Kluyveromyces lactis: one gene and its partner. The protein of the gene in region 2 interacts with the protein of the main gene of each other region in a pairwise test. Links are inferred from orthologs where the notes say so. Each region holds a gene or a part of one and is shown on either strand. Other genes may lie near its edges.

What was found.
Region 1: the proteins of ROM2 (region 2) and ACK1 interact in binary tests that used the Saccharomyces cerevisiae proteins (3 or more experiments, as listed by UniProt). The link is inferred for Kluyveromyces lactis from reciprocal best matches to the Saccharomyces cerevisiae genes ROM2 and ACK1.

The regions. Positions count from the first base shown.
Region 1 is NC_006039.1:1,307,828-1,311,524, reverse strand, and holds ACK1 (Ack1p), read right to left. Parts: upstream 2,230-3,697; coding exon 715-2,229; downstream 1-714. Other genes in the region: COX20 (Cox20p), read left to right, coding at 2,915-3,472.
Region 2 is NC_006038.1:683,743-688,207, forward strand, and holds the start of ROM2 (Rho family guanine nucleotide exchange factor ROM2), read right to left. Parts: upstream 2,902-4,465; coding exon 1-2,901. Other genes in the region: ARC18 (Arc18p), read left to right, coding at 3,959-4,465. UniProt on the Saccharomyces cerevisiae protein: Stimulates the exchange of RHO1 GDP-bound form into GTP-bound form.

The DNA of each region.
Region 1 (3,697 bases), on a different chromosome or scaffold from region 2:
GTTAAGTGTGTGCAAGGGAAACCAATAAAAGAAGCTTTCTCACTCGCAAAGATATAGCCACTTCTAACAGGTAGAATCTTTTTAAATTTTTCTCTTCAGTGACGAAAGTGAAACCTGGTGTATCAAAGAATATTTTACTCTAGATTAGAGAAGCACTGAACCAAAACCAAAGGTGTATCTTAAGTTAAACCTGAAGCTCATCTCTTATTATATAATTATGAAAACATATCATATTATATCTTTTTTTGAGTTTTCAGTCATTTTTTCCTCAGTCATTTTCATTTTCAGGCAATATGAGAGGATTTTACCTTTGAAATGATTCCGACATTGCCAGTTCCGCAGAAGATATTGTAGGAAGACAGGGAAGGGAAAAGGGAAAAAAAGAAATGCTGGACTTAGGAGCTTTTCTTTTTGGAGGTTTTCAGCCAATAAGAGTAGAGGATGATGTGAGCGAAGCGAAGAGCTGTGGCAGTAATGCTGGCCCTGGCCCTGGACCTGGCAGTTGAAGCTGGGGATTGGCCTGGATGAGCATGGTTCGCTTAGCGGGAGCAAGTCCGAGTTTAAGCTATGTTGGTGTCGCTTCGCGACACCAACCACCGCCAGAAATTTAACTTCTAGAGAATACCAATAACTAACTACTCTAACCAAATCTTATTATTACATATCATTACAATGAAGCTAGCTACGCAGGACAGTAAAAATAAAACCGCAAGGTCACATTTTCCTCAAGGCCTCGATGGCTTTCGGATGGCCAAGACGAGCAGCAGTTTCGTGGTGTACCTTGGCCTCTTGTATGTTTGGCTGACATCCAAGGCCTTTCTCCAAGTAAAATGCTAATGCATACTCTGCTCTTGGTAATTTCCCGTCAGATAATTTCGAAGCACGTGACACCCACTTGAAGGCCTCTACGTCGTTCGGTTTCAATATCCCCTCAGCACCGGTAAGGTACCAGCCACTAAGTGCTACCATGGCTAACGGGTTTGGTTTGGTCTTGTTCATGGAACTCTTTGCGTACCATGCAATGGACTTCTTGGGTATTACAGGTAGTCCCATCTCCCCAAATTCATAAAAATGACCCAATTTGTATTGGGCTTGAGAATAATCGAAGTCATGGGCGCATCTATAATAGTATTTGATCGATTTTTCCTTATCTTGAGTGATTCCGTTTCTCAGAAGCTCTTGTCTAACGGATTCGTCTAACTCTTCAAATCCGTAAATCTTACCCAACTCAACCATCGCTTGTGGCGATACTGATTCCAGTTCTACATGAGCCTTATCGTCTCGTGGGATTTCGATCTCCTTGGTAGCCATTCTAAACCAGTATAAAGCTTGTACAGGGTCTCTTTTGATAACGATTTCACCAGATTTCGTTCTCAGTCCTTTCAAATAGAACATCCCGAGCTTGTACATGGATACAGAATGTCCATTGGTCAAAGCTGCCATTTCATAGTACTTCTGTGAAATCTTTAAAGCTTCGTATTCACTCACAGTTGTGTAATCTACTCCACGTCCGTACTCGTAGCTGACACTGGTCCGATACATGGCATCCTTATGACCCATATCGGCTGCTCTGCGATAGTAGTCTAGAGCTTTTGCATCATTCTTAGACACGATATCCATGGGCCTTGGAATATCTACGTAAGGGTGGTGGGAATAAAGTGTCCCTAATAGGTAGATCGCTGGTGAATAGTTTAACTGAGTTAGTTTCGTTAACACGCGTAACGCATGCTCTAAAATGGTCCTTTTATTCTGTAGCATTTCGGTCTCAGTTAAATCCCGTTTCAACTTTTCAGCATTGATATTGTATCTGATTAAGAAAGTGGGCTTGAACGCATATTGCAACAGTGTCTCGCACCATTTCAACTGGATATCCTTCGTAAACTTGTTTGCGTCCTTGACGGTTCTGTCATATGCTTCATAAAACGCGACAGCCTCGGAAGAGTAATTTGAAAGATCCCGTTCACTCTTAGCACTGCTAGGCGGGTTATCCACTTTGGGTATGCTGACTTGCTGCGCCGGTGGTGGTTGTCGTGATACTGGCGTCGTTACCGTTGACTGGGAGCTTTGTCTTGTATCTTTCTCATACATTTGGTATGGAATATTCGTATCTGCAACATGATTCTGGGGCAGATCATCAACCGGATATGGTGTATTCTTACTTGGCTCGTGACCTGGCGGGTACATGTTTATGTAGTTGCCATACGCGTTTCTTTGTCGGTTGTTATCCATTCTATTTCTCTCAAGAGAACGATTTACCAATGTCCTATCCTTTCTACGAATTTCTTCCGTGCAAACGCTTTCGAATCCAATACTACTTGCAGAGCAACTCACTTACCCACAGACTCAAGCTGATACCAGAGGGCAGTGTTTCCAGAAGCCTAGTTGAAATGCTTAACGGCCACTGTATTTTTGTTGCAACTCATCGTTTCAGATTAATTCAATTTACCATTATTTTACTGATTTTCAGAGTATCGGATTCTGTCGCCTTTTTTTCATTTCTACTGCGACAGTACATATGAATCGCAGAAAGCGACTTTTAAATATAGAACGGATAAATAAATGTACATATTGTGTCAGTTTAATATGTTCAAGACAAACTAGGAATGCATTTCCAGAGACTTGCTATAGTTTCACTGTTTAAAAAGTCACTTAGGTCAAGAATTTCCAAGTACCTTCTGATTTTATGATTAAATACTGACGCTTCCCAAATATTCCATATTTTTCAATTATTTTTCGGTTTGGAAAAAGTTGTGTCTGTAGGAAAACTGATTGACAAACTAAGATTATAAGATGAGATGATGCTAAAAGCGTTGACAAGTAAGCAGCAATTGAGATCTTCATTAAGCTAACCTAGGTAGCTGTCAAGTAATATAAACTCCCGTTGAATTGATATTTTAATATTCAGAGCGCAAACATGGTGTGGCCATTTTCTAAGAGTAAAACGCAAGAAGCAAGTACCGAGGTGGAAAGGAGTATATCAGAGGAACAGCAATTAACGAATTATGCTAAAGGACAGAAGTTTCTATTTGAGGATACAAAACCCAAATTCAATAATGAGTCCAGTAGTATGGCTGCTCGAGAGCAGGAACGTGCGTCTTTGAAAGAGGCATGGAATACGATAGACGTGAAAGATTTCAGTGTCGAAAAGGTACTGTCAATTCCATGTTTCAGAGACGCAGGGATCGGAGGGTTTACATCGATGTTTGTTGTCGGATCAGTGATGTTCTTGTACCATAAGAATCCTGCTCGTGCGGCAAATTGGGGTGTAGGAGGTTTCATACTTGGATCCATTGTAGGATGGGAGCAATGTCGCATGCGTCGTAGACGAAGCTTCCAAGTGGCAGCAATGGCCAAACAGACTGTTGCAGCAAAGGAGAAACCAATGCTGAAACAGGTTAAGAATATAGATACAGTCAAGAAGGAATGGGAAGAGGGCTCTAGAAACAGTAAACCTTGGTACAAATTTTGGTAGGTGCAAGACATGATATTGACTTACCACCACGTGACCTCGTATCTTTTTTACCCAACATAAGACGTCGTAGGCAATATTTTAGGCATGTAGAGTGAGAATGAATAATTCTTGATTCCTGGCACAATAGTACAGGACATCATTTAATGACATATACCGTTTATAATACCACTGCATACACCACTGCACATACCCCTGCAGACATTCCAATTTACCGCTAAAGAGCTG
Region 2 (4,465 bases):
TGAGATGTTACTCTTTGTCAGAAGCTTTGTAGGAGCCCCGAATATTATAGAGTTTTCTGCTCTTCTAATGTTACTGTAAAATAGGCCTTGCGAGGTGGCGATTATTAACTTCCGTCCGCCATCACAAGATGCAACGCTGTTAATCTTATTGGAGTAATCAAAATACCTATCACTAATTTTGCAAACGTTAAAGATATCGTTTTCTTTGATAATCCTAGCTTGTTCCTGCTTTATCTTCTCAAGAAGCGTTTGCATTGCTGCGAACTGTGCTGCGTATAACGTTACTTGGTATTTGTTTTTAGCACCATAATACGTGAAAGAGATAGCATTTCTGGGATTCGTGCCAGCGATTGCATCAGGATAAATAACCATACCTTGACTATCCGGTTTACCGCAAATATGTCTCTTTAAACTTGGCATTTCTTCACCAGGAGCGGCAAATAACAACGGGAGAGGTATAGGCCGCTGGAAAACTTTATGTTGATTCCATTTATTGACTGCTTTTGACTTCAAAAATAATAACATATTGTCCAGTAGATAAAATTGAAGGTCACCTGTAACACCATTTTCATTCTTGGTAATTTCTTTTCTTGATAGAAGGCCTTCATGCTTGATCTTCCGTTTATCATCATTCAATCCCATGTTGACATACTCATTCTTGAAAAGAATCTTTTGCTTCAACAATTTAACATCATGTCTGTCCTGAGCAGCACCACTAGCCTTATCAATACGTTTCATAAATGCACGAAGGGCTTCTAGGGCCCTTGTTAAATTCTCCAAGTCCCTCTTTTCAGTTTCAGGGTCGGTAGACTTCATTATTTCTCTAACAAGTAGGACATAACGACCTGGCCTAGAAACACCTTGAGACAAAAAGGAATCAATCCCATGTCTTAACTTAGAGTTCATCAGGTCATCATCAAACCGAGCGAAATATGGGTTAACGGACCTCTGAGTTTCGATCAAATATTTAGCATACGGCCTGGATGCCACATACATAACAAAAGGTTCAAAAAATGGAACGAAACGTAGTAAAATATCACCAATTCCATCGACTATCGGAGATGCTTTTTGTCTTTCTGACAAAGCGTCTAGGAGCCGTCTGTTTACGGAATATATGTCATTAACATGGGCGAAAACATGTTTGATAAAATTTTTGCGTATATCGGCAGGAATGATGTTAGTTTCAGCTAGTTTCTTCATAAATGTATCTCTAAGAATCTCAAGGGATTTGACAAATTTCTTTTCTGTGCTGTAGACTTCGTAAATAGCTTCCTGTCTTTTAATCTCACGTTTGGTAAGTGAACTCCAGAGTTCTTCTGGAACAGAACTTGTCCATGATGATTTTTCTTCATCGTCATCATCAATTGCCATAGAAATATTTCTTTTTAATCCACCATTTGGCTTTAAATTCAAACGAGCTTGTTGTTCGAGTCGCTTTGGACATGAAATAGAATAACATAACCTGTTTCTAGTACAAGTTGGAGAGTAACATTCTGCTAACAATGTGAATACACCGTTCACTTGATGATAAGAGTCTAGATCCTCCGGTTTCTCCATCAGAGACAGACTAGATTCGGATTTGGAAGGTGCGATGGTAGTGCTGGATTGGGAAGCAGAGAAATTGTTAGTAGAACCGATCTCATATATGCCTTTACCGATAACTCTGGAATTGCCTGTAAATTCGTAAACTTCGTTAGGGGAATCACGAAGCCTGTGTTCATAAATCACATCGTGGAAGAGTTTTTGAGCATCAAGTGCTCTCCCCAATAACAAAGCTAAATTACGATCATTTGTCCTTATTATTGAGCAGATGACATCAATGGCTTGTTGACCAGTAAATGCGTCTCTGTAAACTAGTCCATCTTTTTTGTGTTCGCACAATGTGATTGACTTTCTGAAAGCTGTCGCAACTCTCGATAGCATTGCGGGATACACCTGGGGTCTCCTAATAGAACTTGATACCACTATATGCTTTGTGTGTAATGAGCTGGTGGATGTTCTACGTATATGCCTCGACATAGCTGATTCGGTGGACAACGATGCAGAAGATGCTCTTTGTTTGATGCCCAGACCTAGCGTTGAATCAAGCAATGGGTTCGTTGAGTGATCGTACTTTTGCGGAATGGTTCGACCACCAACGGTTTTAGTTTTCCCATGCAAAGAAGAAGTAAAGTTTTTGAAAGTAGAAGAACTTATAGACTGAGTCCTTCCGAAAATGTGATCAGATGATGAGTTATTATTGTAATTATTCGACGAAAGGTTTGCATCCGCTTGCAAATATTTCGAGCTAGATCTTGAAAATAGTCCAAATCCTTGCAGCGGAGATTTTTTGGCACTGAATGATCCCCGTGAATTAAGATTACTAATGTTGTTGCTATAGTTGTTGCTGCTGTTGTTGTTAATTTGTCCTGTAGTTGAAAGTTTTGGTAAAGACGGCTTTGAATTGAAATTTTCACTCTTTGACCTTCTCGGTGATTCATGAATCATGTCCATGGCGGGCGGCGCTGGTCTACCATGATGATGATGCGACATAGGTCGCTGCTTAGGTAAAGAAAGATCCTCTGGTGGATACGCCTGTGGAGAAGTCGACTCTGGAGGAGTCACAATATCATCCTCCGTGTCCATACTTGGAACGTCACTTATTTGACGAACATGGACAGGACTTCTGAAAACACTCCTTTCAGTCCCAGTTTTGTTTTCTGAGATCTGACCTCTATTTTGCAGTAAATCGTTCTCTACATCTTCATTGAGCACAGCCTTTAAACTCATCATATCTAAAGAATCTGGCAGTTCTCTCGGTACATTACTTGGGGGAGGCGACAAAGGCCGCTCAATACCAAAAATCTGGGTGAACAATTGCCTCCTGGAGTCTTGTTCCATATCATTGGAGGAAAAACTCATTGTCTCGCTTTAGAAAGAACAAAAAGACACTTAATGCAAAAATCCTGTTCTAAGCTTCTCTTAGGTCAACCAAAAGCAAAAAGAAAGACACTAATCCCAGAAATGAAAGGAATAATGGAATACTCAAGTTTGAAAGGATATTGGAACTGGAATAACAGACAACCTCAACCAAAATAAAAATACAATAATAAAGGAAAACTGAAACCAAAACGAAAACCGAACAGAGTTTGTAATTGCGCCTTATGAAATTATTCCCGTTCACACACACCAAACGTACTCTCTCAGATTACTGTACACCACCCTAAGTTTCCAATCTGCCGTTCCGGTATCGAAATAACACTTTCTTAGCCCAAATCTCTGTGTCAACAAAACCTTCAATCAAGCCTTGCTCCTTATTATTTATCAGGTTTCCGTTATTTTCTTTCAAATGATCAAATCAAATCAAATTCTCAACTTACGAAACATCGGTGCATGAAGTTGAGATTTGGGACATCATCATAGTGCGGAAAACAAGCAAAAAATATGGAAAAAAAAATAGCAGTGAAAATAGAAATTTACGTCCGGTAATTTGTGTATAACCTTGCTGTTCCAGATCCTGTCACTAGCCTCAATCAGATGGTTATCGTGACTATTGGCACAGTGGCTTCTGTATGCGTATTTTTATTTTTTATTGTATTATGTAATTTTTTGAAGTCAGGGGAAGCTGAATCTGTATTACATGAGTCACGTGATTGCTACTTTTGGGATGGTATCAAAAGACTAGTTGATTAGGCCTCGATAATTCCGGACCCTCCTCTATCTTCCCTTTGCTATACCTACTTGATGCTTTAGATCATCACTAATACATCACCAAGTGATCGAATCAACTGTTGTAACTTCTGTTAGTGAAACCCCTTTTCTCTGCCTAAAACTGAAAAGCTACTTCAATATGAAAACTAAACTATGAAATAACATATGTGGTAAAATATATGATTAGGTAGCTAAAGTACGTCTGAATTAAAATCGCAGGAGTATCAAATCGGGTGATAATCTCGTCAGACCTTAATACAAACACATAATGCCAGCTTTCCATTCTACTTTTCTAGCGGACCCAGCTACTGATCGTTTCGTGGGTAACTTTGCACTACTTCCATTGAATACGAAATATAGAGGACCAGCTTACCAGTCCAATTCAGACTACGATATTATCGATGAATGTCTAGATCTTTTCCGTGCCAATTCCTTCTTTAAGAACTTTGAGATCAAATCCCCAGCTGATAGAATATTAATCTACGGCATTCTATTCATAAACGACTGTTTGGCAAATTTGAATTTATCGACTAGTTATAACGAAGCTGTTAAGAAATTAATGAATCTAGGTTTAGATAGCTTTGCTATCCCAGGCACTCCAGGTTTCCCATTGAACACTGTCTACTCCATTCCATTGGACAACCCAGCAGATGTGGAGCTTTTAAAAAGTTATATCCAACAATTCCGTCAAGAACTGGCTATGAGATTGCTAGAAAGAGTGTATAAAGATAACAGAGAAGTGCCTTCGAAGTTCTGGTTGGCATTCACTAGAAGG